2 linked regions of the Pelodiscus sinensis genome follow. The protein of the gene in region 2 interacts with the protein of the main gene of each other region in a biochemical or structural test. Links are inferred from orthologs where the notes say so. Each region holds a gene or a part of one and is shown on either strand. Other genes may lie near its edges.

Evidence for each region.
Region 1: of the proteins of TOP2A (region 2) and PIAS4, one has a biochemical effect on the other in vitro, tested with the Homo sapiens proteins (2 studies listed by BioGRID). The link is inferred for Pelodiscus sinensis from reciprocal best matches to the Homo sapiens genes TOP2A and PIAS4.

Annotation. Positions count from the first base shown.
Region 1 is NC_134729.1:22,022,694-22,038,604, reverse strand, and holds the start of PIAS4 (E3 SUMO-protein ligase PIAS4), read right to left. Parts: upstream 8,299-15,911; 5' UTR 8,193-8,298; coding exon 8,166-8,192; intron 3,057-8,165; coding exon 2,627-3,056; intron 1-2,626.
Region 2 is NC_134739.1:10,725,910-10,741,847, reverse strand, and holds the start of TOP2A (DNA topoisomerase 2-alpha), read right to left. Parts: upstream 6,869-15,938; 5' UTR 6,780-6,868; coding exon 6,720-6,779; intron 2,890-6,719; exon of another isoform or gene 2,614-2,889; coding exon of another isoform or gene 2,581-2,613; intron 2,451-2,580; coding exon 2,301-2,450; intron 918-2,300; coding exon 827-917; intron 1-826. Other genes in the region: uncharacterized protein LOC102455445, read right to left, coding at 13,186-13,393, 14,209-14,324, 15,173-15,367, 15,795-15,863. UniProt on the Homo sapiens protein: Key decatenating enzyme that alters DNA topology by binding to two double-stranded DNA molecules, generating a double-stranded break in one of the strands, passing the intact strand through the broken strand, and religating the broken strand.

The sequences.
Region 1 (15,911 bases), on a different chromosome or scaffold from region 2:
TAAAAATGTAAATAATCTGTGCTTCAGTGTGATAAGAGTACAAAAGCATCTGTTCTGCACCAAGCCCCACAGATTAAGCACAAATTACATCAAGAGAAAATTTGTTAAATGTGTCCAGGGAACAAGAGGACTTCCAGGAGGAGTGAGCTTTTATAGGGAGTAGGATGCCAGTTTAGCCTAACTAAAGATCTGATCTGACATAACACTTCTACGTATTGTCAAACTTAGTACCCTCAGATAAACAGTAAGGATGTTAAGCAGCGTGTGGTTTGTTAGTCGTGTAGTGACAAAAATTGTGTCAGCTAAATGATTAATCGATAAGGGTTAGCACAGCAAGCACTCAGTCCTGGCTTATGCAGTGTCTGGCAACTATTTCCACTGCGGCTCTGCACTAAGAGCAGAGGAACCAGCAGGAAGGCAGCCCAGCTCATGAAGGGTCCTGGGAACTGCTCCTAAATTACTTTACCTGAAGTGCTGCAGCGGGGGTAGCTCCCAGTTCTAGCACGAGCAGGGTCTGAACTGGATTGCTGCCCACAGCACCTAAATTACTTTTTATGCAGAGCCGCAGTGGGGGTAGCTCCAGGACCAGCACAAGCTGGGACCGAGCTGTGCTGTTTGCCAGCCCTCAAAAAATGTATTTTTGGCAGGGCTGTGGGGGCAGAGGGTACATGTAGTCAGTAGCATTAACTGATAAACTTTCACTTACTGGTTGTTTAGCCACCTTCATTATATCCCTAATAATCAGGCTACATATATTTTTCTTGGAGCTATGAATAGGAGATGGAGCTGTCCCTGAAAAACAAAAAAACCCTCACTTCTCAACTTCAGAATACTCAATTACATATTCAATTGTCTTTCCAATGGACTAGCACACAAAAAATTCAAGACTGAAGTAACCAATTTCTAAAATTCTGTTTAAATTATCAGCCTTAACAACTGTACTCCCTTCCAATGCAGACAAATCATGTACATCTGAAGCATGGATAGTATAGTTAATACAGTTTATACTGTTAAGTAGTCCAGAAGCTAAGAAATATGGAAAATAAGAGTAAACAGGGAAACTCCACAAGGAGTAATAAACATATGGAATAAGTTAACAAGGAAGGCAACTGAAACAGAGGATATAAATAATCTCAAGGGATACTCAGCCTAGTTTGTGAAGGCAGAAGGGAGTGAAGGGGTATGATGAAAAAAGCAGGAAGATGGGATTAAGAAATTATGAATGTGCAGGAACATAGAAACAAGAAACCGCCATCTGGTACTAATATTTATGTTCTTTTGAATTAACAAGGACAGTTTAAGTATTATCTGATTTGTGTTCTGGCAGGTTTCTCAGAGCCACGTAACAGTTAAAAAAGTGCCTTTTATGTCCACATTAGAGAAACAAATCCACACTTCTGCCTAGCAAGGCTATTCAGCAGAGGCTGCTTCCCACATGCCTTCAAACTTCCAGACTATGTTCAGACTGCAGCAGTTCCTCTAGTTGCCATCTGGGTAAGATGTCACTAGCTTCATTTATCAGCACTGCTTTCATTTCTGTGCACATTAAGCTCAAGCCTTTCCAACAATGGGAGATCAAGTTTTGTATTTATTTTGCTTAGAAAGTCCATTATGTAACAAGGCCTGAGGCTACCAAGTTTACTCTGTGGGCCACTGAAGAAGGGTGTCATTTAATGGGTCACAAAGCAAAGAAAGCCACAACCATGGCAAAAAGACCATTTTGCCTACACCACACACAAAATACACATTATATTCTATTATGGTCATACTGTCACTATCTAGAATCACAAACACTAATCCAGACCGATTATCATGACTCCGAGGTGGAAGAAATTGCTTTTTTCGTGTTCCAGAGTTTCTCTAGTGACTCCTCAAAATACAAAGCATGGTGCATAACTATGGTAGGTTTATATAATTAAGACAAGGCATTGGTGTGTGATTTAAAATAGGAAGATCCCTTTATTTGTGGGAAACTGAGGCTTTGATTACACTTACAATTTTAGAAGTGTAGCCAAGGCACCTCTTCCAGCACTCTATGTAAACCACCTCCACAAGAGCAGTTAGCTAACAGCACTGGGAGCCCGGTTCACACCGGTGCTCTACAGTGCTGTAACTTGCTTTGCTCATGGAAGTGGGAGGGGAGGGGATGTACAGTGCAGTGAAGTGCCATTGTAGACTTAGTTCTACACTTTATCATGGCAGACTTAGGCTAACTGATATCGGTATAGAAAAGGCACTGTTCCAGCTTAGCGTAGTTATAACACTGATGGAGAAAACAGCTGCCCCCCTACATTGACTAGTGCAGGGACACATCAGTCAGTACATAAGGATGCAATATGTTAAGGCAGCACTTTCACTGAAGGATACAAAGACTACATCAAAACAAGATAGGCTTTCAAGTCACTTATCAAAGGAATTGCAGCTCCTGCTTCAAGAAAGGTAAAAAAAGCAACAAATATTATTCCAAACCAAGGGAGACCAACTAGAAGAGAACCTACTGATTTTCTCTGTTATGTGTCCTTACTGTTCAACAAAAATGCTGCCATAAAACTTGCATATTTTTTCAGTCCTTTTCCAAACTGAGTCCTGGCTATTAGTCTTGTATCTGCATATACGAAAGACTCACCTAGCTCTGTTGGCTTCAGCAGTTCATCCAAGGTGGTATAGAAGGGAAGTTTCACCAGCCGAACTTCAGGCTTTACAACTTTGGGTGGTAACCTTCCCAGTCCATTAAGGTATTTCCCATAGAGTGCTGGATAGTCAATGTTAGGAGTGGAGAGAGAAGTCCTAGCAACAGTGCTCCCTCGGTCATAGGAAGAATGTATAGAGAGCGCCTCTGGAGGTCGGTGCTGCTGTGGCTGCCCTGATTCAGAGCTCTTCTTGGCATAGCGAGTCTCATAGAGCTCTTTAATTTTCTTGAAAACTTCAGGGCTACAATCAAACTGGACCAGCTGCAATGCTCTAGTGACCAGCTCATGTTTAAGTCCACTCTTACTCCGGCCAACAAAACCCAGTAACATCTGAAGGTCTGAGACTCTGAAACTCATCACCATGTTCTAGGAAATAAAGGTAAAACATTAAAGTAAAAGATTTTTAAAGTTATAAAGAGATCAAGTGACAATTCTCTCCAGAGTCTATACCCTAGAACTCAAAATATTAAAATTTACTTGCAAGGACTGACACCAAGCCTTCTGTTTCAATGGCATGCTGTTCAAGTGATTAATGTGTCATGCATTTGACACTTGTTTGTGCAATGGCAATATATAAGAGAGAAACTGAACATTGGTCAGTATACACAGACCTGAAAGCTGTGACAAGCTAGTCACTAAATTACCAAATAATTTGTGATAAGTACAAAGCAATCTCTTGGTAACAATTGGAAACAACTGCAGTCCCAGGGACACAACTTGCATCTGGTTAGTGGAAGAGCAAGTGTATCGGGGTTATTAACTACTTCTGCCCACATCTCGCTTCCTTCAATCTGCTCTCTTGTGAACAGGACCAATGCTTACTTCTGTTAGGGTTCTGAGGGAGCCCAAAGAAACTACCAATTTTCAGTCTGACCCTAAGGTTTTGAACAACACTGAAATTGACCACTTGTCAACTTCACACTTCTGCCTGGGGTGAGAGCCAGAGAGCAGTGAAGCACAGCAATGATCTACACTTGGAAGACAGTCTTCATAAAGATAAGACCAAGAAAATATTAATTAAAATTAATGCTCTTGTTCTGCAGAGATTGATTATTGACGCCTTCCTCATTGCCAAAAAAATTTCACACAGACCCAGAGTGAACAAAGTGCTTTTCGAGCCCTGAAAATATGTTTGAACATTTGCATTTATCCTTGCATCTTGTTCACAGTTTTCAAAAATATAGGAAAAATCTTCTAGAACATAAATTCTACATGCCCAGCTGTAGGTGATGAAATCAGACACTAGGGATATAAAATCCCATTAATTGGTTAACTGATTAATGCAGAAGGGAGGGAAGGGGGCTGAGGCCAGTCGGGAGCAGTCCCTTCCCCCTTCTTCAGCCTGACCCAGCCCTGTGGGGGTCCACTGGGGACAGAAGCAGCCCCCTGCTGGCAAGGAGCTGCTTCAGCCCTCCCTGGTTAACAGTTAACTGGAACTAGTAAGCATGACTGTTAATGGTGTCCCTATCAGGCCCTAAGTCTTTTCAATATTTATTTCCTGATTATATGGAAAATAAATATTGAAATCAGATTATTAATTTACAAAAAGAGGTTGAAGATAACATTCTTACTGTCAATGAAAAAAATTGACAAGCCAACTTTTAAAGGAAAAACAGCAACTGAATTAAATCCAGAAATATTTATTAACAATATTGGGGGGGCATGAAATTCAACACAGGCCATGTCTACACTATGGCACCGTAGCAGCAATAGCGCTTCTCCTACACCAGCATAACCCTGAAATGTAGACAGCATTCAGTGACAGAAGGTATTTTTGGTCACTGCAGCAACACTCCCCTCCCTACTGATGGAAGCATCCTTCCCTTGACACAGCTGTGTCTACACTAGGCATGAGAAGGGCACAAGCATGGTGCGGGGGAGGGGGGTGTTACCAGAATGCCATAGCTCTGTCAACGTAAATTTTAATAATTAACCTCTTGCATTTTATTCTTCCCCTTTCCGGTAAAATCCCCTTGGACTTCCTGTTTCACTGAAGCAGTCCTAGAAGGCATCACAATACACCTGGGTTCAGTGAGACACTTAGTAGTGTGATTGTATGTTCTGGAATCTCTTCAGTGAAAAAAAGAAAAAAGGGGAAGGGAGAGAGTTTTGGCAAGCCAATGAATGATGTTTGGTGGTTAGGAAAGTAATCTAGGAGTCAGCAGACCCAGATTCAGTTCTTTACTACACCTCATGCTCCTGGTGTGACCCCAGGCAAGTTAATCTCTCTGTGCATCACTACCCATTTGAAAGATGAGGGTAACAGAACTTTTCCATACCCCATTGGGGCATTCTGAGGACTACAGCAAAGAGGACTAAAGCACCAGACAAGAGAGTTATCCCTGTGCTCACTGCCTAATTTCCTGTCTTCTTGATGTATTAAGCATATAATTCTTGCTGCTTTTTTGCAATTTATGTTTACCCAGATTTTGGGTCTAGAGACGTTATCAGATTTGAATAAAAAGCAAAGCAGGCTATTTTAGCACAAAGAAATACAGGTTGAACCGCTCTAGTCTGGCACACTCTGGCCCTGCAACATCCGTGGTCCCACATAATTTTAGTTATCTAGATGTCCACGTATGGGTGTGGCCAAGTTTCCCGTCATCCCATAAAGTTTCTTTAAAGCCACTAGTCCTGTCTCAGTGTTCTGTGCTGTTATTTAGCTCTAATTTACCCCATAAGACTTCTAAGAGCCCAGTAAGCAGTGAAAGTGTTGGAAATGCTGCTACACAATACTGACCACCCCCACCATGGTCTTGCAAATTATCTGGTTTGGCACTGGCCAAGTCCCAAGGGTTTAACCTGTATGGCTGTGTCTAGACTGGCATGATTTTCCGGAAATGCTTTTAACAGAAAAGTTTTCCGTTAAAAGTATTTTCGGAACACAGCATCTAGATTGGCATGGACGCTTTTCTGCAAAAGCACTTTTTGCAGAAAAGCGTCCGTGCCAATCTAGACGCGCTTTTCCACAAAAAAGCCCCAATCGACATTTTCGCGATCGGGGCTCTTTTGCACAAAACAAATCTGAGCTGTCTACACTGGCCCTTTTGCGCAAAAGTTTTGCGCAAAAGGACTTTTGCCCGAACGGGAGCAGCATAGTATTTCTGCAAGAACACTGACAATCTTACATGAGATCATCAGTGCTTTTGCAGAAATTCAAGCATCCAGTGTAGACAGCTGGCAAGTTTTTCCAGAAAAGCGGCTGATTTTCCGGAAAAACTGGCCTGTCTAGACATAGCCTATGTGTTTAGAATTGGGATTACCAGTTAACCAGTGTTGACAAAGCCATGCTTTCCAGGGTGCCTACCATGGGGGAGGGATGCACCAGTCCAGCCAGACCCTAAGCGAGGAGCTGGTTATCATATGTTTAACTGCTTAACATTTTAAACAGGATTTTACATCTCTAGTCTAGAACCTCAGGCTTCTAACTCAGAGTGGTAGGAATATGCAGTTCTCGTTAGCTCATGAGATTATTGTAAAGTGAATATAGATGTAAGCCTTGTGCAGCCAAAAGACAGCAAATTGTGTGTTGAAGCATGGAAGATAATGAATTCTCGCTACAGCCAGACAACAGATATCTTTAAGATACTTCCTTTCGGAGGAATGGTGGGCTTCTGCCCACAATAATAAAGAAGGCTTAACACAAGAAGGGGAATCAGCCACCATTATGTCTAGATGTACAGTTTTCTACATTTTATGTCTGCCCTATATAAGCCAGTTCTATGATTCACAGCATTCACTGGGTCTGCCCTGTTATTCCATTACTTAATGCCTAATCCTGCCAGAAGCTGAGCACCTTCAGCCATGACTGAAGTCACTTGAAGTCTTTAGACAGGCAAGAATGGGACTTTATCCTGGAAGTCTTGTTATTGTACTGTGAGGTTACAGTTCTGCTTCACAGACAGTACACCTGTGATTCCACTCACTGGCAGGCAGGAACTGAAGAGCCCTACTCATGCAGAGAGCAGTATCACATAGCAGAACTGGACTCAATCTTGGAATCTGTGCAAGTCTTCCTCTCTCCAACGGTGCTCGTCATGCACAAAATATTTTGTAAGTATAATGCAGTTTAATATTTTTTTTAAATTGTCATGTCACTAAGCAACCTCCAAATACATCAGATATCACAGAATCCTCTAATGTATGCAGATTTATAGACTATCAACATTTTCTCTAGAACTCTTAAAGCTTCAGATCTCATTCATTAGGTACCTCCATATTCACTTCTCTGGAAGCTTCTCAATACCTTCAATTCAGATAATAAAACAATCCATTTATGCTTTCATAGGGGTGGGGGGTAAACTTTGCAAACAATATGACCCACAGGAGACATTTGGACAGTTCACTCACCCCTCACTCCAAAACCATTTCCTAAAATGTCAGTGGAGGAAACCTGGATGTCATCACTTCACACTCACACCCCCAATTGCACTTACAAACTCTTCACTCTGAAGCCCAGAGAGCTGAGATTGGAACAGGAAAGGGGGCGTCATGAGGGAGTCACAGAGGAAAGGAAAAATGAGAGAGTAGATGGGAGAACTGCAGGAGGGACCTGAGGCAATGACTACTTGGGAAGAGGCAATAGTAGCAGGAGATGAAGGGGGGGGAGGAGAAGAGTGTCGGGAGGAAAGCCAAGGTGTGTGGGGAGCAGTATGCCTGTTTTAATCATTTTATCACAGCCTGCTAAAATGGGGGAGATCTTAGGGTTCAGTGTTGGGATGAGAAGATGCCAAGACAGCGGTGGGTGGGGAATCTGAAGCATCAGCTGCACAGAATGAAAACAGGGGAAGCTCTAAGTGGTGGGCAATTTCAGGGGTCAGTGGGGGAGCCGGAAAGGCCCCAAGGGAAGCACAGGAATCAGCCTGGGGATGCAAAGAGGCTGAGTGAAGGCCCGTGGAGTTGGCACAGACAGGAAAATGCTGAGGCTGCTGGTGGAGGTCTCGGAGAGGGGGGATGACAGGCTGGCACTGACACTGGGAGGTGGGTACAGGGAGGGGTGGGGTCTCCGGGGTCAGCTACAGAAGGGCAGGGAGCCCCCGGGGATGGTTATGGCGGGGCGGGGAGGCAGGACGGAGCCGACGCGAGGGGATGGGGGTCCCGTAGGGACACGGGGGGGGGAATGGGACGACGCTGGCGGCGGGGGGGGGGGGGTCTCTGGTAACGGGACGGCGCCGCCGGGGGAGCGGGCGAGGGCTCCGGCCGACAGGGGCGGGGCTGGGGAGGCTCGGCCCGGGCCCGGGGAGGCTCGGCCCGGGCCCGCAGGGAGCTGGCGGGCGAGGCCCGGGCGGGGGGGGCGGCGAGCAGGCCGGCCCGGGTGCCCGCGGGGGAGGTGGGAGCCAGCGGCGCCTGCCGCAGGGAAGGTCCCAGGGGCCCGCCCGGCCCCGGGTGCTGGGAGCCGCGCTCCCCGGCCGTGCCACGGCCGCCCCCGGGGCCCCGCCCCGCGCGCCCCCCGCTGAGGGGAGGCCGCTCACTCACTTTCGCCTCCACCAGTTCCGCCGCCATCTTGGCTTCCAGCGTCCACCGGCGCGCCGGGAGCCGCCGCCGAGTCACGTGACACGCACCCTTTCCTTCCTCGCCCTCCCTCCTCCCCCCCCCCCCGAGGGGGCGGGCTTAGGGAAGAGCGGGGAACCAATCCCATCGCGCTCCAGCCCCCCGCCCCTCGCCGGCCGCCCGCCCGCGCACGCGCGCTGCCGCCCACTCCCGCCCCGCCCATGACCCCGTTCTAGCCGCCTCCGGGCTCTTAAAGTGACAGAGCCGGGGGGCTGGGGAGGGGGGACAGCGCCAGGCCCGGGGCAGAACGGGGCGCTGCAAACCCCGCTCCTCCCGGGGAGCTGGGCCCCGGCCAGCAACAGGGCCCTCGTCTGCGGGCGGGGCAGCCAGAGAACGGGCTTTAATTAATTAATTAATTAATTAATAATTAATTAGCCCACTGGCGGGCTAACAAAGGCCATTAATGGGAAGGCGAGGCAGAGAGCAATTAGCCCCCTGCATTGCTTATGAAGGGGCTCACCGCAGCCAACCCGCCACGGGCTTCGTGGGGTGGGAGACAAGGCCATGCTGGCTCCTGCACCCCCGTGCCGTTGAATTCATGGGGTGCCTAGTTCTGCATTGCCTGCAGGGGAGCGTATGGGGGGGGCTGTTGCTCTGGCAAGTTAGCCCCTGGATTCCGGGGATAATCCTGCCCTCCCCCCAGCAAGGCATGTACACGCTAGTTGGGGTACAAGTTGCAGAGCTGGGGTGCTGTGTGCCATTGAATCAAACTGTAAATAAACTCAGTTTGGTGGAAATTGCTCCGAGCCAGGGGATGCCGCTGTGCCCTCAGTTTCAGAATCTTTCCCATGATCTAGTTGTGTCTGCACTGGACGTGAGGTCGACGTAGCTACAGCGTGCAGGAGTGTGGATTTGTCACACTCCGCACTTCTATAGCTGCATCCACCTATGTGGTGTGCAGATCAGGCCAAAGCCTACCGCAAACCTGGATTATATATGGCCAGAATAAGAATCTCCTTTGAATGTGTTGGGGTCAAATGCATATGAAATGTTCTTTCGGAAAACAAACCGCCATCCCCCCTATACACACATACATATCCACCACAGCAAATTAAAATAGAAAAGCCTCTGTGAAACCAGAAACAAACCTTTTATAAAACAAATACATCTTTCGGATTTCTCTTACCCATCACAGAGCAGCATAAAAGGACATGAGCTGGAATTGGTTTCCTTTGTTCACCCTTTCAGAATCTCTGCTGGGCATATACAGTGAGCACTTTTCAAACTTGTATATTTGTTCCAGCTGTTTTTCATTCAAACTTTGTTGGGCCAGCCATAGGAGTTCAAAATATCACAAGAATGGCTTAAAAGTCATGGGATTTTAAAAAATAATATATTTGGAGTTCTTTTAATTTCCCTTTTGGCTTTTAACCTTTCTACTCAAGCTTTTTTTCCACAGCCACAGGGGATTAGTAACTTTTTTTTTAAAGAGCTGGTCTAAAATACAAAGCTGGGTTGGTCCAACTATATTGTTCAGGGCTGCGAAAAATTTACTCTCCTGTGCCATGTAATTAAAGCTGACCTAAGACCTGGAGTAGTAGATACAGAGGTTGGCAGAAGAATTCTTCTATCAGACAAGCTACCACTTTGTGGAGAGGTGGATTCGCTTGGCAATAACTGTGCAGCACAGCTGCAGCATGGAAGCTCCACTACTGGAGTGTTTCTACTGTAGACGTACCCTTAGATATTAATGGAATCGCTTGCTTCCAGAAGTCGGGGCTTTTAAGAAAGTCACCGCCTATCATGAGACCTTGTAATAAAATTGCAAGTGTTGGCAACCACACAAAGAAGACAAAAAGACACTGTTGATCCCTGGCCAAGATTTACGTGCCCAAACTTAGACTGCTAGGTTCATATTTAGGCATCTCTCGGAATGACCTTGTTTACAAAAGTGCTGAACACGGAGCAGCTCCCACTGATGTCTTTTGGAAGTCAGGCCCTTATTCTGCAAAGTCTTAATGAGAATGGTTAACATTATGCACTATGACAAGTCCTGCACATAAACAAGTTAACCATGCACATAAGCATGCCCATAAATCTTTAAAGGATTGGGGATTTATAGGCCTAAATGTAAAGGTCTGGAAAACATGGCCGTTGAGGGAAGGTTGAAATAATCGGGTTTGTTTAATCTGGAAAAGAAAAGACTGAGAACGGACATACTAAGAGTTTTCAAGTTTCTAAAAGGTTGTTACAAGGAGGAGGGTGAAAAATTACTCTCCTTAATCTCTGAGGACAGGACAAGAAGCAATGGGCTTAAATTGCAGCAAGGGAGGTTCAGGTTAGACATCAGGACAATCTTTCTGTCCGGGTGGTTAAACACTGGAATAAATTGCCCAGGGAAGTTGTGAAATCTCCATCATTGGAGATATTTAAGAGCAGGTTAGACAATTACCTGTCCATGGTGCTTGATCCTGCCATGAGTGCAGGGGACTGGACTGGACAACCTCAAAAGGTCCCTTCCACTTCTACGATTCTATGTCTCCCTTTTTAAAAATCTTAGACCTTAGGGACAATGGGAGACATTTTCACAGCCACAAATGGCACAAAGGCCATGAAAGATGGGGGCCAAACTCCTAAGGCAGAATGTTCCATGACGCCCATGCCTGTTTGCAGACATCACAGATGCACGTAGGAGCCTAGATGTCATTGAAAGGCAAGAATAACCCTCTTATCCAGTCTCTCCTCTGAAGTGCTTTGCAAAAGAGGTCAATATCAGTGGCCCCATTTCACAGGTAGAGAAACCGATGTATGGAGAAGGGATGCGATTTGACAAAAAGCACCCAATAAGCTAGCAGTAGAATTAAATATAGAACCCAGGTCTCCTAAGTCTGACTTTAACCCACCAGCAATGAGGCAACGCTGTTTAGGCTTTTTAAGGCTATGTTACATGCAGAGAGGTGTCAAGTGGGTCTTTTATGTACCTAGGTGCCTAACTCCTGCTTGTGCAGAGCCCCAAGATGTCAATAAATAAATAATCCCCAGCTTGTATGTGGCACTTTTCATCAGTAGATTTCAGGTGTCTCTCGGATTCTTCCCCATCACACCCCCGTGTTTTACAAAGGAGGGTAGTATCCTTAGTCCCATTTTACAGATGAGGACACACAGAGAACATGCAGCAGGCTGTACAGGAGTCCAAGGCTCTATCCAGGTGGGCCAACTTTCAGGATCGGGGCCTAAATTCTTGATTCTGCATTACAGCTACATCTGGATTTTGGTTATTACCTCTTCTGTTTTCCCTTGATCACAACTTTCCAAAAAAGTTGTCATCTCTGGAGTTGAAACTTTCTTCGCTTAAAGTCAGACTAGAGTGGATTTTTGTTAAAAGAAAAATGGGGAAAAAAATCTTTTCAGATGGTTGGAGTTCTGAGACAATATGTTTTCATCTTAAAATATGAAAAGCAAAACTATTATGAAATTGAGCCAGTTTATGTGGGGAGTCAGGTTAAAAGTATACTGGCTCCCGCCCAGCTGTTTTCCTCCCACTTCCACTTCCTCTGTGTCAGTATTGCGGAGGGACAGGTGGGAGCAGCCATGTGCAGGGAGCCAGCTTTCAAGTCATCTCCCCACACATACTGGCTCCTGCAGAGACACCTCTGCCTCCCCTTTGCTGCTTCTAGCAGCAGCGTGGGGCAGGCTCCCTGGGAGCCACACCTTCCCCCCTTCCTGCTCTCTGCAAGCAAATGTGTGCCTGCTGACATTTTCAGCAGGTACACCTTTACCAAACTAAACACATTTTAATATCCCTAATGTGAGCAGGAGCTGCAGAAAGCCTTTGTCCTTTGTCGACAGGGTTGAAAGACATGGGCAAAGGGAAGCCCCTTTTCAAACTTTCGGTGTAGGGTAACCTACCCCCTAAGCTGTCTGAGCATTGCCCCGGCTCTGTAAAGCCGGAGGCATGTGGGATGAAAGCGGACTCGCTCAAAACACACCCACACCTCAACTATTGCCTTATACATGGGTGGTTGGTGCAGCTGGGACCGGGGGAGGCAGGCCTCCTACCCCCTCTGCTGAGACCCCGCCCTCCCAGGGAGGAGGTGGGGCAGCACGCCGAGCACTCCCCACAGCACTAGGGAAAGGAAGAGAGGGAAGGGATGCAGGTGGTTCCAGCCTCCCCGGCCAGGAGCACAGGGAGGACAGGCACTGGGGGCAGCAACTCTCCACCCCTAGAATGCCTACCCAGGCACGCTGGGGGCGGAGTGTGGGCATGACCAGGCTGGCCGTTTGGGAAGGCAAAGTCTTCCCTTGCCTAAGCCACCGGGCGCCCATGGCCTTATAGTATGGAAACTCAATTCATTAGCTCGTCACCATTCGCTTTCCCTGTTGACATCCCACCGATTTTTCAGGACAGCTCAGCTCCCATTCACACATCAGATAGAGCCTTTTGGGGATGGGAAACTGATGACAAAATGCTAAATATCCCACCTCTCTAATCCTGTTCATTTTCCAACTCTTACGCATCAGCATCTGAACGCAGGGCAAGACTACTCATAAAATGCTCCATCGATGCAGCTGTAGTGCGTAAGTGACGAAATCCTACAGCCTCCGGTGAGTGTCTCCTGCCGGCGTAATTCATCCACCTCCCTGAGAGGCAGTTGCTATCTTGGAGGGAGAATCATCCCATGGACACCGCTCTGTCTGCACAGTGCAGGGCGTAAACTGGCATAACTATGCTGCTCGAGTGTGGGTTTTACCGATAGGGGTCTGTAGTGCACACCTGGCCTCAGTAAACAACCGTGGGGAATGCCAAAGTGAGCTCTTCCCCAGGAAAGTTGGTAGCACTGGCTCCTGAAGTGGGAACCCCGGAACACAGTGGGGTCACCAGGGAGAGTGGACAAAATCCCCACCAACAGTACAGGCTGCGGCGCCACTTCATAGCGGCCTCTGCAACTTGGGACTGCACTAGCAAGACAGCTGTTGTGCTACCTACAGGTAGGAGAGGCTGATTATCTGACTAGTCACTGACCCACCCAACTGCACTGCCCCACTGCTCACACCACGGCCTCGCTGCTGGTTTGTCTACACTTGAAATGCCTCAAGCAGCACCACGGGAGTGTTTCGGTGTAGACCCTGTTGGGACTAGGGAGGGGTTGTCCCATCAACATACGCAAGTCCCCACCCTGAGAGGTGGCAGCTCAGAATTCTTCTGTCACCTGTTAAGCTGACCTATCCCGCCAGAGACACAGTCTAACTATGCCACTCAGGCTACGTCTACACTGTAGCATTTTTGCGGAAGAGGAAAGGCAAATGAAGCGCTCATTAGCATTTCTCGCACTCTCATTTGCATAGTCTCTTCAGATCCATTTTGTGGAAGAGGTTTTTGCGGAAAAAAACCCCAGTGTAGATGGGGCAAAAAACACTTTTGCACAAGATCCTGATTATCTCCTTTTTGAGGGATAAGGGATCTTGAGCAAAGGGGTTTTTTTTGCGCAAAATGGCCCTGTCTACACTGCGTTTCTTTCCATAAAAAAGATCGGAAGAGATTATGCAAATAAAGCGCAAGAAATGTTAATGAGCACTTCATTTGCATTTTCTCTTCTGCAAAAATGCTACAGTGTAGACATAGCCTCAGGCTGTGTCTACACTGGCATGAATTTCCGGAAATGCTTAAAACGGAATACTATTCCGTTTTCAGTTTTTCCGGAAAAGGAGCATCTACACTGGCAGGCTGCTTTTCCGGAAAAGCCCTTTTCCCGGAAAAGCGTCTGTGGCCAATGTAGATGCTCTTTTCCGGAAAAGAGCCCCTATCGCCATTTTCGCCATCAGGGCTTTTTTCCGGAAAAGACTACTGGGCTGTCTACACTGGCCCTTTTCCGGAACAGTGTTCCGGAATAAGGACTTATGCCCGAGCGGGAGCAGAATAGTTTTTCTGGAATAGCGGCTGATTTTGTACAGTACAGCATCATTGCTTTTCCGGAAATTCAAGGGCCAGTGTAGACAGCTCGCAGCTTATTCTGGAAAAGCGGCTGATTTTCCGGAATAAGTGGCCCAGTGTAGACACAGCCTCAGGGTGTAGATTTTTCAAGCCCCTGAGCAACATAGCTGGGTCAACCTAACTTTTAGCACAGACCAGGCCTACATCTACTGGGAATTGCACCTCCCAGCTGCAGGGTAGACACAGAGAGGAGAATAAACTCCCAACCGTGCAAAGGGAGTGTACGTAACCAATGCTGCTGGGGAGGAGAGAGATTTTCAAGAGACTTTTGCACTTTGACGACAGCTACAAATATTCACAGAAGATAATTAGACAATTTCCCTGACAGGCCAGTGTGTTAATCAGGTCGATGGGGCTCAACTTACATTCTGGCAAAATCCAGGGTTTGTGCTAAAAATGCAAACCGTTACCGTAGCAACTGCAACAGCTGATAGCTCCTCATGTCACAGGGAGAAAGCACACCCCCAGACAGACTCAGCAGGCCAAAGCAATCCCTAGCGAAATGCCACCGACACCACTGGAGTTACACTAGGAGCAAATTTGGCCCTCTCTCACCCATATGTGCTGCCAACCGCTGTCTGTGATCATTCTTAAGCAAGCTGGGGGCGTAGGTGTGGGGAATTCAGCAGGAGACTACTGACTGGCATGGAAGTTATGAAACAAAGTGATTGTGTTGTGCGCTAACTTTTATTATGGTAGTTTATTGCTGTTTGAGAAACATGGGAGTAGGGATGTAAAGATCCCATTTCATCAATTAACCGATTCAATGTTACGGTTAACTGGTTAAAGACTTAAATGGGTTCCTGCAGGCAGGAGACTGCTCCAGCCCAGCAGGGCCCACTGTGCTATAGGCTGCTCCAGCCTGGGCCACAAGCAGAGGCTGCTTGGGCTGGGCTGGCTGCACTACGCTGTGGGTGGGGGGCTTTTCCAACCCAGCCAGGCCTGCCGCAAGCAGGGACTGCTCAGGTCACACCCTCTACTCTGCACTGTGGGGGCTGCACAGTCCGAGCCCACTGTGCCGCAGACAGGTAGGGAGCTGCTCCAGATGGACCAGGCTGGAGGGTGCCCTGCCCATGGTACAGGAGGCCCAGCTAGGCTGGAGCGGACCCCTGCCCACATTAGACCAGGGGGCTGCTCCAGCCCATCCAGGCTGCCGGTTAACCAGTAACCATCACCCAGTTAACCAGTGACATCCTACATAGGATTATAGTTCTTATCCCATAATGCTGTTTATCCTGATTGAAAATAAATTAAAAAAGAGGGAATATATTTAGCCTCTAAACAAGGAGAGAGCGAGAGTCAGGTCGCCTGGATGCTGTCCTGGCACTGACTTACTGTGTGACCTTGGGCAAGTTACTTATGCTCTTTGCCTCAGTTTCTCCATCTGTGAAAATGGGACAAGGAGACTTCCCTATTGCACAGGGGCTTGACAGAACAACAGGTCGGTTTTTCCTCTCATACCAGATTGTCATGGCTGTAACTCCACAGCCTGCAAGTAAGAGATTTGTACCAGTCTGAGAGAAGAATTTGGTCTGATGTTTTTGAAGCACTCTGAGATCCTGTGAAGGAAGCTACATATAAGGCAGAGAAGTATAAAAAGGAGCAGAGTAGATCGCTGATATTTAGGCCAGGTCTACACTAGGGGCGCTACAGAGGCATAGTTACAGAGCTGCATTTATGGTGCTGCCACATGGTAGTGTAGACGATGCTACCTACAGCAATGGAAGGGGGTTTCTGTC
Region 2 (15,938 bases):
TTACTTGAGCAACTACAGAGCTGATCAAATGATGCAAAAGTTACGAACATTTTCATTACAGATTCTTATTTAACATTAGGGAGGTTAGATATTGTGTAACTGAATAACCATGTAACCCCACCAAAACTTATTGGTTACATGATTATTCAATGGTCCCCAGTGGCAGGGCTGGTAGCCAGTGCACTCCTGTGGAGCCCTCTTGCTATCTCACACTGTGTCCACTGTATCAGAGGTAGCAGCGTGGGGTGGCAGGCGGGAGCTGGTCTGCAAGTGGAGCCGGGTTTAAAACCTGCTCCCTATGCAGTCTGGCTCCCACCTGCTGCCCCTGTCCACAGGGAGCTTGGGCTCCCCACGGACAGAGTGCTTGGCATCCCTGATACAGAGGCAGTAGTGTGGGGCAGAAGGAGGGCAGCTCCATAGCACCAGTACTCAAGAGGAGCTGGCTTTTAAGAGGCAGCAGCATGGGGGAGCAGGCAGCTTCATGTGAGCCGGAGCTGGCTTGAAAGCTGGCTTCCCAGGTGTACTGGGTCCAGCTTGCCCCCCATATCCTCCATGCTGCTGCCTCTCAGAGGCAGCGGGGGAGAGGAAGAGGGGGCTCTGTGGGATCCTGTGCTCGTGGGCACCAACTCTGATGTTCCCCTCCCTTGCTGACTCTGATACAGAAGCAGCAATGGGGGGGGGGAGGGCTTGTAGTCATTAGGATTAACCAATAAGCCCAGGTTTATCATATAATCGCTAACATCCCGATTTAACACATATAACATCCACAATTTGTTATCAGTGGAATAAATTGCTAGCAACCGAACTGTCATCTCTGCAGACTTACCTAGAATTTCATCAAAGATTTTATATAACCCAGGCACAAAAGTTACGTCTCTGCAGCTGAGGCCCTCATCTTCATCATAAACCCACATTTGCTGAAAAAAAAGAAACACTCTCTTTAGGTTTACCATGATTTCCTGATCTTCTGTTTATATACCCAAACCACATTGCGCTCCAAACTGTCTTTAAAACATTAGCGATTTTCCACTTATGTCCAGGAATTAAGTGCCACTGATCAGGCTTTCTTTAGTACTGTAATTTCTTTCTAAATTACAGCAAGGTGACTATGCAAGTAAGGGTATGTCTACACTACAGCCCTACTTCGAACTAGGGGGGGTAATGTAGTCATACGGAGTTGCAAATGAAGCCCGGGATTTGAATTTCCCGGGCTTCATTTGCATAAAGCCGGCCGGCGCCATTTTTAAATGCCGGCTAGTTCGGATTAGACTTCCTAATCCGAACTATCTGTACGCCTAATCCGAACTAGCCGGCATTTAAAAATGGCGCCGGCCGGCTTTATGCAAATGAAGCCTGAGAAATTCAAATCCCGGGCTTCATTTGGAACTCCGTATGACTACATTACACCCCGTAGTTCGAACTAGGGGGGTAGTGTAGACATACCCTAAGCTACATACGTTGCTCAGATGATATCAGTACAGGTTGAACCTCTACTCCAGCACCCTCAGGACCTAACTGATGCGAAACCAGAGAATGTAAACCATTGTCTAGCAGCATTACTAATGCTTCTACGGCTTGCGAGGCTCTTAGAAGACATTTAGAGATATATTAGAACTAAATAACAGCACAGACCCCTGAGAGCCAGGACTGGTGACTATGGACAAACTTTATGGGACTTTGGGAAACTTGGCCGTACCCATAAGCAGACATCTGGCTCACTAAAATCATGCCCGACCACGGATGTTGCTGGACCAGAGTACCAGATCAGAGAGGTTCAACTCACACTAAAACACAAGGGAAAACATCCCATTCAAATTTAGCAAGATGGTTTTAAGGAAGCACGATCTGCAGATTTCTAGTCATGCTCACTAAACCATGTCCATGCCTTATGGCAGGGTTTCTCAAACTGTGGGTCCCGACCCCGGGGGGGGGCGGGGGGTCGTGAGCAACTGAAAGGCTGGTTGCATCAATGGGGGGGGGGGGGTCCGCGAGCAACCGAGAGGGGGGGGGGGGGTCGCGGTATCACAAGTTTGAGAACCCCTGCCTTATGGGTTATAGAGTGCGATGGGCAGAGAGCAGGGGATGCACCGCAGATGTCGGTGTGGGAAGTGTCTGGCTGCCCCAGTTGTGTGCTGCGACCCCATGCGCTGGGCAGGGTGTGTGTGTGTGTGGGGGGGGGGGGGGGGTTGGGTTCTCCTTGCCTGGAGCACCCAGTAAATCCCAAGATGGACACTGACAAAGCCCTGGGGAGGCAAGCAGGAGAACGGCAGAACCACCTGCGGCACCAAGCCCGTTTTTACCTGCGTGACAAACTCCACGGAGCCGATGTAGGTGTCGGGCCGGAGCAGAATATGCTCCAGCTGGGTTTTCTTCTGGTAGATCCTCTCCACCGACAGCCGCTTCTTCGCCGCCTCCTTGGCTTTGCCGACCTTGGGGTTCTCGTGCACGGGCTGGGGAGAGACAAACGCCGCGTGACCCCGCGGGCCCCGATCCCGGGAAACGGGCCCCCGGTACCGGGCCCGCTCCCCGGGGGGCTAGAACCGGGCCGGGCCAGGCCGCATTGGGGCTCCCGAGACCCACCCTGAGCGGCGAGAGGGAATCCACCAGCTCCATGGCGCTGGGCCCGGGTGTCCGGCTCGGTCCCGAGTGTGGGGGGCGGAGGATCCGGTTCGGTCCCGGTATCGGGGGGCGGAGGATCCGGTTCGGTCCCGGTATCGGGGGGGGGATCGCGGTCTGGTCCCGGTATCGGGGGGGGGATCGCGGTCTGGTCCCGATCGGGGAGTGGCCGGTATTGGGGGGGGCAGAGGAACCCGGTTCGGTCCGGTATCGTGGGGGAGGGTCTCTGCTTGGTGGATCCCAACCGCCCGGACGAAAGGTCCGTTTCCGTTAACGCCTGAGCGCGGGGGGAGCCCTTCAAACCTCCGTCCAGCCCGCCCAGAGCCCTCGGCCAATCGCAGCACGCCGAGCGCGGCGCCTTCCCACCAATCGCCGCGCGGCCTGCGGGCAAGCAAGGCCTGGGGGCGGAGCGGACCGCCCCCGCCAATCGCAGGACGCCGGCCCGCTCAAACCAGCCATTCACACGCCGGGAAAGAGAGGCGCGGGAGGTTTTCAAACTCCGCCAATCAGCTGGGACAGCCCGTGAGAGGCAGGCGGTTGAACCAATAACAATGAAGCCGGAGGTAGCTAGGTCTGCAGGAGAGACACGAGGGCAAAGGTCATCAGGTTCAACCTTTGACCTCCACCAAGTGGCTCCCCATGTGTGTTGGGGGTAACTCAGCCCACGTGGCCATGTGGCAGTGGGAGGGAGCCACATGGAGCCACTGGGCTGTGTCTACACTGGCCACTTATTCCGGAACATCAGCCGCTTTTCCGGAATAACTTGCCAGCTGTCTACACTGGCCCCTTGAATTTCCGGAAAAGCACTGACGATCTCATGTAAAATCATCAGTGCTTTTCCGGAAAAACTATGCTGCTCCCGTTCGGGCAAAAGTCCTTTTCCGGAAAACTGTTCCGGAAAAGGGCCAGTGTAGACAGCAGAGATTTCTTTTCTGCAAAAAAGCCCCGATCGCGAAAATGATGATTGGGGCTTTTTTGCGGAAAAGTGCGTCTAGATTGGCACGGACGCTTTTCCGCAAAAAATGCTTTTCCGGAAAAGCATCCTGCCAATCTAGATGCTCTTTTTCCGAAAATGCTTTTAATGGAAAACTTTTCCGTTATAAGCATTTCCGGAAAATCATGCCAGTGTAGATGTAGCCCTTGGCACCGGCCAAGGGGAGTTTTCCCCAAGTACAGACTGAAGTATTAGGATGTTTTCTCAGGTTTCTGTCAAAAGAACATAAGGACATACATTTTCAGACCAAAGGTCCACCTAGCCCAGTATCCAGTATCAGCTGACAGTGGCCAGCGCCAGATGCCCCAGAGGGAGGGAACACAACAGGTAATCCTCATAAAGCGGCGAGGAGTCCTGTGGCACCTTACAGACTAATTGAAGTGTAGGAGCATAAGCTTTCGTGGGCAAAGACCCACTTCGTCAGTGTCTTATGCTCCTACACTTCAGTTAGTCTATAAGGTGCCACAGGACTCCTCGCCGCTTTTGCAGATTCAGACTAACACGGCTCCCCCTCTGATAGGTAATCCTCATGTGATCCTTCCCCTGTCACTCATTTCCAGACAGACAGAGCCTAGGGACACCATTCCTACCATCCTGGCTAATAGCCATTGATGGACCTAACCTCCATGAATTTATCTAGTTCTTTCTTAAACCCTGTTAAAGTTCTGGTCTTCATAACCTTCTCTGGCAAGGAGTTCCACAAGCTGACTGTGCACTCTGTGAAGAAAATCTTCCTTTTGTTAGTTTTAAACCTGCTACCTATTAATTTCATTTGGTGACCCATAGTTCTTATGGGAACAAGTAAATTTTTCCTTATTCACTTTTTCCACACCAGTCATGATTTTATAGACCACTATCATATACTCCCCTTAGTCTCCTCCTTTCTAAGCTGAAAAGTCCCAGTCTTTTTAATCTCTCTTCATATGCAGGGCTCGACAATTCGTGTAATCTACTCGCTCATGGCGAGTTGATTACAAGTCGGCACAGCCGCAGAGTGTGCTCAGTGGATGCGCAGCACGATCTGCGCATGCGCAGTGTGCCAAACCGCGTGGCTGGCGAGCAGGGCTCGCGTCACTTGGTGAATCCTGTTCATGTGGAACCCATTCCAAACCCCTAATCATTTCTGTTGCCCGTTTCTGAACCTTTTCCAATGCCAATATTTCTTTTTTGGGATGAGTCGATCACATTTGTATGCAGTATTCAAGACGGGGGCGTACCATGGTTTTCAGGGCCAGCCTTAGGCCAATTCAGCCGATTCCCCAGTGTGGGGCCCTGTGCCTGAGGGGGTCCCGTGCCCAGGGAAACGACGGATGCGCAGTGCACCAGGAGCACACCGCTTGCGTGGGGCCCCTGGACGCACGGCACATGCGTTGTGACATCCCGGGCGCATGGCACATGCGCCATGTGCCCGGGGGGGGGCCATGCATGCATTGTACTCCCGGGGCACTGCGCATGCATCGTGACATCTGGGACGCACAGCGCATGCGTCGTGCCTCTGGTGTGCGACGCATGCGCCATGCCGCCCGGGGCCCCGCGCATGTGCGGCCCCGTCCCAGGAATCGGGCCCCACGCTCCATAGAGCTGGCTCTGATGGTTTTATATAGAGGCAGTAAGATATTCTCTGTCTAATTCTCTATCCCTTTTTTAAGGATTCCTAATGTTCTGCTTGCTTTTTTGACTGCTGCTGCACACAGAGGCTGTGTCTAGACTGCATCCCTTTTCCGTTAAAGGGATGCAAATTAGACACATCACAATTGCAAATGAAGCGGGGATTTAAATCCCCCCTGCTTCATTTGCATAAACATGGCTGCCGCTTTTTTTCCGGCTCGGAGCTTTGCCAGAAAAAAGCGCCATTCTAGACGGGGATCTTGCGGAAAATAAAGCCTTTTCCAAAAGATCACTTATTCCTCTTAAAATAAGGAATAAGGGATCTTTCGGAAAAGGCTTTATTTTCCGAAAGATACCCGTCTAGACTGGCGCTTTTTTCTGGCAAAGCTCCGAGCCGGAAAAAAAAGTGGCAACCATGTTTATACAAATGAAGCGGGGGGGATTTCAATCCCCACTTCATTTGCAATTGCGATGTGTCTAATTTGCATCTCTTTTACGGAAAAGGGATGCAGTCTAGACACAGCCAGAGTGGATTATTTTGGAGAATTATCCACAGTGATTCCAAGATCTCTCTCTTGAGTAGTTGTAGACAAATTAGTCCCCGTTATATTGTATGTCTAGTTGGGATTATTTTTTCTAATGTGCATTACTTTACATTTATCAACATTAAATTTCATTTGCCATATTGTTACCCCTGGGAATTCATTTCTGCACCAGCACTAGGGCCATTCGGGAGGTGAGATTGCATATTCCTTGTTCATGTGATATTGGAGCGTCAATTTAGTCCCTAGCATAGTCTAGGACTGTGTTTCTCAACCTTTTTTTATAAAGTACCCTTTAAAAAAATTATAAGTACCCCCAGTACCTATAGTTTTCAGAGACAATTTTTTTCTACCATTGCAACACATTTGTTTAAACAACTTAATGGTAGCCGGGGGGGCGATGACATTTTTGGGTGTAAAAAGTACAAAAATAAGAAAACTTAAAACAAAAATTCAGTTTTCTCCAAATTTCAGTTGTGTGGACGTACCCCCCAGACTTCTCTTTAGTACCCCTAAGGGTACTGGTACCACTGGTTGAGAAACACTGGACTAGGACAATTTAGTCCCTCTTGGATCATGGCAGCCAAGAATCAGTAGAATGCAGGGCTGCTCCAACTCCTTCTGCTACACCTGCCCTGCCTTTTCCCTCCTCCAGTGCACCCCCAGCCTGCCCTCTGCACTGGGAAGGAGTGCAAGTGGAGGGGGTCTTCTGCAGATGTTCTTGCTCCAGTGGTAGGCACAGAGACCTCATATACACCTATTCTCTCACTCCTTTGTGGCAACGTGGCCAGCACAAAGGGACTGTGGGGCAGTGACCCATCTGACCTGGTGTTTCTATAGCAGCTTCTACCCTGAGGATCAGCAATCGCTAACCAGGCTTTGCACTGGCAGGGAAGCCCTTAGCCTTGGCCACTGACACCGAATCTCAGACATCCATGGCATTGCACATCTGCCCTTGCCTGGGAACTTCTCCCGGAAGCTGCTGGAGTTTTCCTCATGCCATCGCCCTGCCCGCTCATCTTGCTGTCTCCATCCACTGCCCTTTGGGATGTTGGCAGTCAAGGGAAATGACTTTCCTCCCGCACGGCTGATGGTTTGGGATGTAAACAAGGAGGCGGTCTTTCTGTGCAGCCCGGAGCCCCACGAGGTCATAGACACAACTGCAGTGACCTCATGAGAGTGGATTGCGCCATCTTCCCCAGGGATACGGGCAGTGCCCTGTACCCTGGAAGGGAAACCCTGGCAGCTGTTCAGGATCCAGTTACTGGCTAAAACCAGCTGTTCTCAAGTGCTGAGTGCCCATTAGGAGACGCTCAAGGCTTGACTCACAGAGGTGCTAAGCACCCACAGTGTCAGCAGGGATGAGGAAGCTGCGGGGTCCTCAGCTCTTTCCAGATGAGGGCTTGGATGGCTGGAGCCAGACATCCAAAAACAGCCACTCCCCAAAACTGGACAACACTCTTGAAGGTGAATGCTTCACCCCCTTCAAAATCTCTCTCAGAACTGCCAGCAGAAACTGATTGATCGTTCTTAAGTCAGTGACAATAAATGAGGAGTAACGTTAGTTCAAACCAAGGGGTTTGGTTAGAACGAACGCGTCCCGGTGTGCATGTCCTGGTCCGAATCAGCTGTGATTCGAACTAGTGCATGGTGAGATCTTGCTAACGAAGTGCGGGATATTTAAATCCCCGCTTCACTGATTATTTCGAATGCCTGCATTTTCATCCCTTGTTCGAACTAGGGTGCAAGTGTAGACATACCTTTAGGGTATGTCTACACTAGCTCGTTAATTCGAGCTAGGTAGGGTAATGAGGGCGACCGGAGTTGCAAATGAAGCCTGGGATTTAAATATCCCAGGCTTCATTTGCATGTTCCCGGGCGCCACCATTTTTAAATGCCCCGTAGTTCGAACTCCCTGCCTGCGGCTACACACGGCACAGGCTAGGTAGTTCGAATTAAAGCTCCTGATTTGAACTACTGTTACTCCTCATTCCACGAGGAGTAACAATAGTTTGAATTAGGAGCTTTAATTCGAACTACCTAGCCCATGCCGCGTGTAGCTGCGGGCAGGGAGTTCAAACTACAGGGCATTTAAAAATGGCAGCACCTGGGAACATGCAAATGAAGCCCGGGATATTTAAATCCCGGGCTTCATTTGCAACTCCGGTCGCCCTCATTATCCTACCTAACTCGAATTAACTAGCTAGTGTAGACATACCCTTAGAGACTAACCAAAATATATAGAATCATGAGCTTTCGTGGGCAAAACCCACTTCAGCAGATGAATTAGAGTGGAAATAACAAAAACCAAGATATATATATAATAGTAGAAGTAGTACTTGTCAATTGTAGGACCCATGTTAATGAGGCTAATTAAGTGGGCTGGATGTGTCCCATACATAGATTTTGATGTGGAAATGCAGATATTAATGGCAGGAGAAATTGGCTTTGTAATGCTTCAACCAGTTAATGGCTTTGTTACCCTGGGCCTAAGCCAATTTCCCCTGCCATTAGCATCTGCATTTCCACATCAAAAGCTATGTATGACCAGTGTTAATTAGCCTCATTAACTTGGGCCTTACAATTGACAGAGACGTCTGCTGTTACATTGATCTCTTGATTTCTGTTATTTTCACTCCAATTCATCTGAGGAAGTGGGTTTTACCCACGAAAAGCTCATGTGCTTCTATCTATTTTGGTTAGTCTCTAGGGGTATGTCTACACTACAGCGCTAGTTCGAACTAACTTAGTTCGAATTAGTTAATTCGAACTAAGCTAGTTCGAACTAACGCATCTAGAACTAAAAACTAGTTCGAACTAGCGTTTTGCTAGTTCGAACTAGCAAGTCCACATTGAGTGGACTCTGAACAGGGCTTAAGGATGGCCGGAAGCAGTGCCGGCAGGGCATAAAAGGAGGACTTAGAGCATGGAGATGCTGTCTCAGGCTAGCCGAGGGCTGCGCTTAAAGGGTCCCGACCCCCACCCCGGACACACAGTTCTAAGGGGTGCCCCGCTTGCAAAGAAGTTCTGGCTTGGAGTGCCCTGAGTGCCCACACTGGGCACATCACACCACTCGGCCATCAGCCCAGCTGCACTTGCCGCAGGCTGCCATCTGCGGAGAGGGAGTAATTGGGGGGCTGCAGGAGAGCTTCCACCGTGAGGAGCCCACAGAGCCAGCCCAGTCCTCCCCATCGGGGGCTCGTACCCCATTCCTCCCTCACCTCCTTCCACTTACCCTTCCTTAGCCCCCCTTCTTATTGATGTACAAAATAAAGATAACGTTTCTTCCAACATTGACTCTGTCTTTATTGAAAAAAAACTGGGGGAGACTGGGAAAAGGAGGTGGGAGAGGGGAAGAGAAAGGCTGGGAGAGGGGAGGGCAACTAACATGATCAGGGGTTGGGAACAGGTCCCAGATGAAGAAAGGCTACAGAGACTGGGACTGTTCAGCTTAGAAAAGAGGAGATGGAGGGGGGACAGGATAGAGGTCTCTAAAAGCAGGAGTTGGGTGGAGAGGGTGCATTCAGAAAAGTTCTTCCTGAGTTCCCATAAAGAAGGACTAGAGGACACCAAAGGAAAGGAATGGGTAGCAGGCTTGAAACTAGTAAGAGAAAGTTGTTGTTCTTCAGAAAGCAAATAGTTAACTTGTGGAACTCCTTGCTGCAGGAGGCTGTGAAGGCTACAACTAGAACAGAGTTGAAAGGGAAGTGAGATCAAGTCATGGAGGTTGGGTCCATGGAGTCCTATTAGCCAGAGGGTAGGAGTGGTGTCCCTGCCCAAAGTTTGTGGAAGGCTGGAGAGGGATGGCACGAGACAAATGGCTTGGTCATTGTCTTTGGTCCATCCCCTCCAGGGTCCCTAGGGTTGGCCGCTGTTGGCAGACAGGCTACTGGGCTAGATGGACCTTTGGTCTGACCCAGTACGGCCATTGTAAGCTCAGGGCTCAGGGTCGGGGGTCTCAGTGGACCCCCTTGATTTTCATGCACACCTGGTCCTGGGTGGCCAGGCTGGCAGCTCTCCTGCCCTAGACGGCCACTTTCCTGTGCCTAGTGCGGAGATCGTGGACGAGGTCCACGATGTCCGCACTAGCCCAGGAAGGTGCCCGCCTCTTGCGGTCCAGGGCAAGCTCCCGGGAGCCGCCAGCCTGGTCCCGGCAAGAGGGGGTGGGCTGGGGGGCATCGGGTGGGTGGCTCTGTGCCGTGCCAGGTGCAGGGTCTGCTAGCTGGGTGCTGGCAGGCTTGCACCTGGCACGGGCACCGTAGCCAGCCCGTGCCCCTTTAAGGGGTCCGGGGCCGGGAGGGGGGCATAGAGTTTCCCTGGTGTTGGCCAGAGTGGCCACCAGGGAAACCTGGGGAGGGCTAGCCTCCCACTAGTTCGAACTAAAGGGCTACACAGCCCTTAGTTCGAACTAGCTAGTTCGAACTAGGCGTTAGTCCTCGTAAAATGAGGTTTACCTAGTTCGAACTAAGCGCTCCGCTAGTTCGATTCAAATTCGAACTAGCGGAGCGCTAGTGTAGCACCTATTAAAGTTAGTTCGAACTAACGTCCGTTAGTTCGAACTAACTTTGTAGTGTAGACATACCCTAAGGTACCATGGGACTTCTTGTTGTTTCTGAAAACAAGAGGCTGCCATGCATAAACTGGGATCACGGGGGCTTTGCAATTTGATTCCCCTTGTGAGGAGGTCTCGCTGCTTTCTGGCCAGTACTATTTTTTTCTTTTAAAAATAAAGGCTGCGCTCAGAAACAACCATCCAAGCCCACACCAGCCTGAGATGCCCAGTGCTCCCACACACCCCTGCAGTGCCAAGCGACTATGCGCGCACACAGAGGAGAAAAGATCAGACAAATTAATTGCAGATGCACGTTTGATTGCTTAGAGGGTGTTATATAAACGTCAGTGAGAAGACGAGGTTGTGGCAAAGCATTATGTCACTCCCTCTCCCAGTGCTGTGTCCCTTTGCCCTTCCTGAGTCTGTGACTTCCACAGTCATTTTGGCTTCTGTCGACAGCCTGTCTGCTGGGCTTCACGCCTTCCTGGAGTGTCTGCTGGCTGGGATCAGCAGAGGACTGTACTGGCCACTGCTGTGCCTGGAGGGCTGCTAAGGCAATGCCACCGCAAGGGCAGGCTGTTTTCTGATCGCAAGGAGCTCTGCGGTGCTGACCCTTTGCTTCATGCAGCCTTGGAGGTTTGCTGCTGTGTACACTCTACCCACTGTCCCCTACCACAGCACCTCATCCTGCACATGCAGAGACTCCTTCAAGACCCGGAAGGGTCACACTTCATGCTCCTGCATCCCTTGGCCGACCAGGCAGCCACTGTAGGGTAGAATCCTAGAACTGGAAGGGACCTCATGAGGTCATCAAGTCCAGTCCCCTGCCCTCACGGCAGCCCCAAGCACCATCTGGACCATTTTCTATTGAGCCCCTGGTCTTCCCAACTCAAGCCCTGTTTCGGCTGGGGTTAGAACACGAAAGCCCAGCTGGAGACCCACCCAGAGACCCACCGCCCAGCCGAGGGAAAGGAAGAGGGAAAGCTGCGGATGGTCAGGCTCTAGCAACACAGAAAGCGTGGCTTGAAAAACCAACCTGAGCCTGCCACCGTGAGGAAATCACTGCAAAGCAAGAGCCGGGGCAGGCTCCCGAAGCTCCTGTTCGCGCGACCTCCTGGCTGATTGTTGGCGCCACCCGAGTGCTGTCCTCCCGGGCCAGGCTGGCAAGAGCTCAGCATCTCCGGAGCCCCCAGGCTGCAGCTGGCCAGGTGCCGAGCAGGCCTGGACATGCAGGTACCGGTGGTGCAGTGGGAGTCAGCTGCGGGCCCAGCGCTTCTGAAAACCCCTCCCTGCGTGCCCTGCGGCGGAGACGGGTTCTCCCAGCGTACACGGACAGGCCTGCACGGGGCACTGAGCTAAAAACAGCAACAAGGTGGTTCTGGCACGGGTGGCCGCGGGGGCGCTCCCCTCTGCCCGACCCCCTCGCCAGGCCGCGCTGGACGCCCACAGTGCTGTTTTTCACCTGCAAGCTCTAGCAAGTTTTTTCTCCCCAGGCTGGCTCCCAGCGGCAGCATAGACCCCAGGCTCTGGGGGTGGGTGCGGAGCACACAGAGATCTGCCCCCACATGCGAGCCCTTTGGGGCAGCCAGCAGCCCTTTGCTCCTCCGTTCGCTGCCTGGGAGCGCCCGGTGCCATTCGCATCCAAACACTCCGCGCTCAGAGCTCAGCCCAAATCCCACACTTGAAACAGGTTTATTTTCAGCTGAAGCACCAGGCTGCTTTCCAAGCTCGCAGGATGCTCACCGGCGGCTCGTCTCCAGAGCGAGCTGAGCCCAGCCTGCTAGCAACGCCCGTTGCCATGATGCTGGCCGGCAGAAAGGCCTAGTGCAGGCCGAGGCGTTAAAATATAATCACCCCTGCACGACCCCCATCACGCCGGCCCCTCCGCCCCAGCTCTCTGCTGAGCGTTTCAGGAGCAGCGGCTGGGGACAGCCAGAGCTAGGGGCAGTCCCTGAGTTGGGTGGGGATGCCCATTCGGAAGACAGGCCCACCCGCTGGCAGGGGAGCAGCTGGGAGCTGACAGAGGCCGAAGGGGGGGTGTGTGAACACAGAGGTAGCGCTCCGGGATAATGGATCAGGCATCTCCCCCCTCTACTTGGTGATAGGAGAAGAGCTTTTAGCTTCCTCAGGAGAGTCCCTGCACAGATCCTTAGGGAAGGGTGGAGAACCTAAGGACCAGGGGCTAGATGCAGCCCCCGGCTTGCCTGCATCCAGCCCCCCAAGACTGGGGATTCCCCCCCAGCATTGGGGAGCCCACGCTGGTTCTCCAGCCCCAACGCCATCCCCCTGCAGGCTGGGGCACGCAGGATTTTACTAGCCTGGGCCCTCCAATGTCTTTCTCCTTGTGTGCAACCCCCAGCCGATGTTTCTGTGGGTCAGTGGTCCCCGGCCCAAAAAAGGTTCCTCGCCCCTGGCTTCAGGGAAGCTCAGCCAGAGAGCACTGGCCCCATAGCCCAGCTCTGCCCCGCACCTCAGTGCTCGCTGCAGCCCCTGCCTGGGACCCCAACGGGGCCTTGCTCTGGGGGAATGGCCCCCCTCTCGCAGGGAGGCCCTGTGGTTGGCACTAGCTAACTAGGTCCAGTGCCTGGGGAGACGGCGCAGCGGCATGGCTCTGAGTTAAGGAGGGGAGGTTACCGACCCACCGCCAGTCTCTAATCTGCACATATGGACCTCCCACCTGGTGACGGACAGATCCCTCTATGGGTACAAGGCAGAGTCCAACTGGGCTGGATAACGGTGAAATAGCCCCAAAGCCAAAAGCAGCCCCAGGGCTGGCAGGAGACCATCTGCTCACTGTCATTCATCCTGGCAGGATCCAGCTATGGCGGCTCACCAGCCCACGGCAGCCCCTGGCTGCCCCCCAGCAGCTCCCATCACCACATGTGCAGGTAAGGGAAGCTGATCTCCATGCACAGGACGACCAAGGGGGTGGAGCAATTACGGTGTTGCCCAGCCAGGAGCTTCCCCTCGGTCAGGGGCGAGGCAAAACCCTCGGCGAGGCTGTTCCGCCACCCTTGGCAGTTCTCCTTTGGCGCCGGGTGCCCACGCTGGCTGGAGCCGTGCCAGATCGCCTTGCGAGCCCTGAAGAGACAGCGCCAGGTTGGGACCAGGGAGTAGGGTTGCCAGATGCTTTAACCAAAAATACCCAACGTGCCCCTCCCCCCAAAAAAACACCAGGGAAAAAATTCTGTTGAGAAAAAAAAGGGGGAGATCTCCCCAAAAGGACCCTGAGAGTTATTAAGCAAAAAAAAAAAAAAAAAAAAAAACCCAGCATGGCCCCTTTAAGAAATGCCTTTGAGGCTTTTTTGGCTTTAACAGGTGGCCAGTGGCCATCTTGTTTTCCTTCTCGGAGCCAGAAGACAGCTCCCCTGTGGAACCAGGTAAGCGGGAGGGAGTGGCGGGGGGCTGGGCCCAGTTGCTGAGTGTGTGTAGGGTTGCCAGGTGCTTAGTATTGCAGGGAAAAAAAATCAGGAAATGCCGGACATTTTAGGAGTTCGGTATTTTTTGAATTTTTTTTACCGGACAGGAGGCAAAAATACTGGACTGTCCGGGTCAATACCAGACACCTGGCAATCCTACCAGGGAAAGGCAGAAGAAGGCCAAATGGGGCCTGATTTTCAGAGGTGCTGGGGGCCCACCCTTTGGGGGAAGCCAAGGGGAACTTGGCACAGCCAGCCCCAGGTGCAAGCTGGGCCCCTCTGTGGAAGTGCCACTTTCCAGGGGCTGGTTTAAAATCCTTTGCTCCTGGGCTTTCTCCAGGGCCTAGCCTGAACCGGGAGGTCACTAGGCAATGAGGGGCCCTCTACCATCCCCTACCCACAGCGACTGCCCCATTGTACTCAGGGCAGGCGGAGAATCCGCATGCGGGCAGCGCTGCTCTCCCCTTTCCGGCTCACCAGATGGGATCCGTCAGCACGTCGCGGCCGTTGAAGGTGTAGATGGGAAAGCCCCGCGCGTTGAAGCGGGTGGTGCCTTCGAACACGGAGTTCCAGGTCTTCGCCAGCAGCTGGCCCTGCCATTGGAATCAGTCCGAGTGAGCACGAGGGACCCCAGAGATTCCCCCACCCGTCAGTCAGCAGCAACCTGGGCTCCCAGGCCAGGGCCTGACCAGCTCTGGCCAGCGTTTCCAGTTCGGAACCAGGCCAGGTGGATTCATGGGGACTCCCAAGCACTGGTCTATACTACATGGGCTGGTCTGATAGGCCTGGGGTCCATCCAGCCTGAGGGGCCAGGCTCAGTGAGATGGATCTGGCTGTGGAGAATTCTCCCTCAAGGAGCTGGTGGACACCCCATCCATCACCAGGAGCACCAGAACTGGCCAGTGCCTGGGAGAACAGGCCATGGGGGATGGGCCAGATGGCACAGAAGAACTGCCAGATGGTTTAACAAAAAATAGCAAACACCCTGCCTCCCCCAATAAAAAACACTGGGAAAAAATTCTGTTGAACAATAAAAAAAAAAAAAAAAAAGGGCGCTGCACCTTTAAATGGCCCCGCGTTCCTCACCTCCCCACTCCCGCCAGATGTGGCAGGGGAAAATTGTCCCCGTGGGGCTTCCATCCGAGGGAAACAGGAAATACCAGACACGGCACATGTCCGGTATTTTCTGTTTTTTTTTACCGGACGGGGGACCCGAATAACAGACAGTCCGGGTGAAAACCAGACACCTGGCAACCCTATGGCCCAGTAGGTTTTTGCTTCTGGGAGTCTCTGAGAAACAGTTTTAACCATTTTCCTGGAGGTTTCGAAGCGCCAATGCAAGGCGCAGGCGCAGGCGAAGCTCCCGGGAGGATGCCCAGTGGCTGTCGCCAGCGAGGGCCTCCCCTACCCACGCTGCGGTGATCGGACTCTGGTTACTCGCCTTCAGGTTGACGACAGGCAGAGTCCTGTCTGTCCTTTTCACAAGGGAGACCAGGGCCTGGGTGGGCACCGACAGGAAGGCCCGGAAGGTGCCGTAGAGCTGGGCTTCCCGTGACTGCCGGTAGCACTGCAGGTCCGCGCCGCTCAGCCCGTTCATGTTGCCGGGCAGCGGGAAGTTCAGGGCGACCAGGCGGAGCTGAGAAAGCCGAGGGGTTAATGGGCAGGGTGGGGGATTTCTCCCGGGTCTGCTTTTCAGCAAGGCCCCACGGGTGTCGCACGCGAGGGGCTCGTGAATCACACGGGGGGCCCGTGGCGTGAAACGTGCTGCCTCTGGCGCCGACAGGTCCCACTCCCCCGAAGCACACATGGGAACGGCATGTCGGCCAGCGCTCTGCAGGCTTCTGGCTGGACCGGCATGGGGCTCTCCCCCGGAGCCTCCTGCTGCAGATCCGCCATCACAGCCCCTGGCCGGGCTGGGCTGTGCAGGATCCTTCACAACTTGGATCAGCTGGGGGGTGATGCCCCTCTCAAGCTGCCTCCATGCTGCTGGCGGGGCCTAGGAATGAGTCCCAGGGATCCCTCCTTAGTGCCCAAAGGAGGGGAAAGACCAGCCCGTGACTTACCGAAGGCACCCTCGGGGGGATGCTAGTGGACAGGGTCCCAGTGGCTGCTTGACTCTCTTCCTTTCCGGCCTAGGAAACACACAATGCGTTAGCCTCAAGGGGGGTTACCCATGCAGAGCGCAGAGACTGGCGTACGCTCAACAC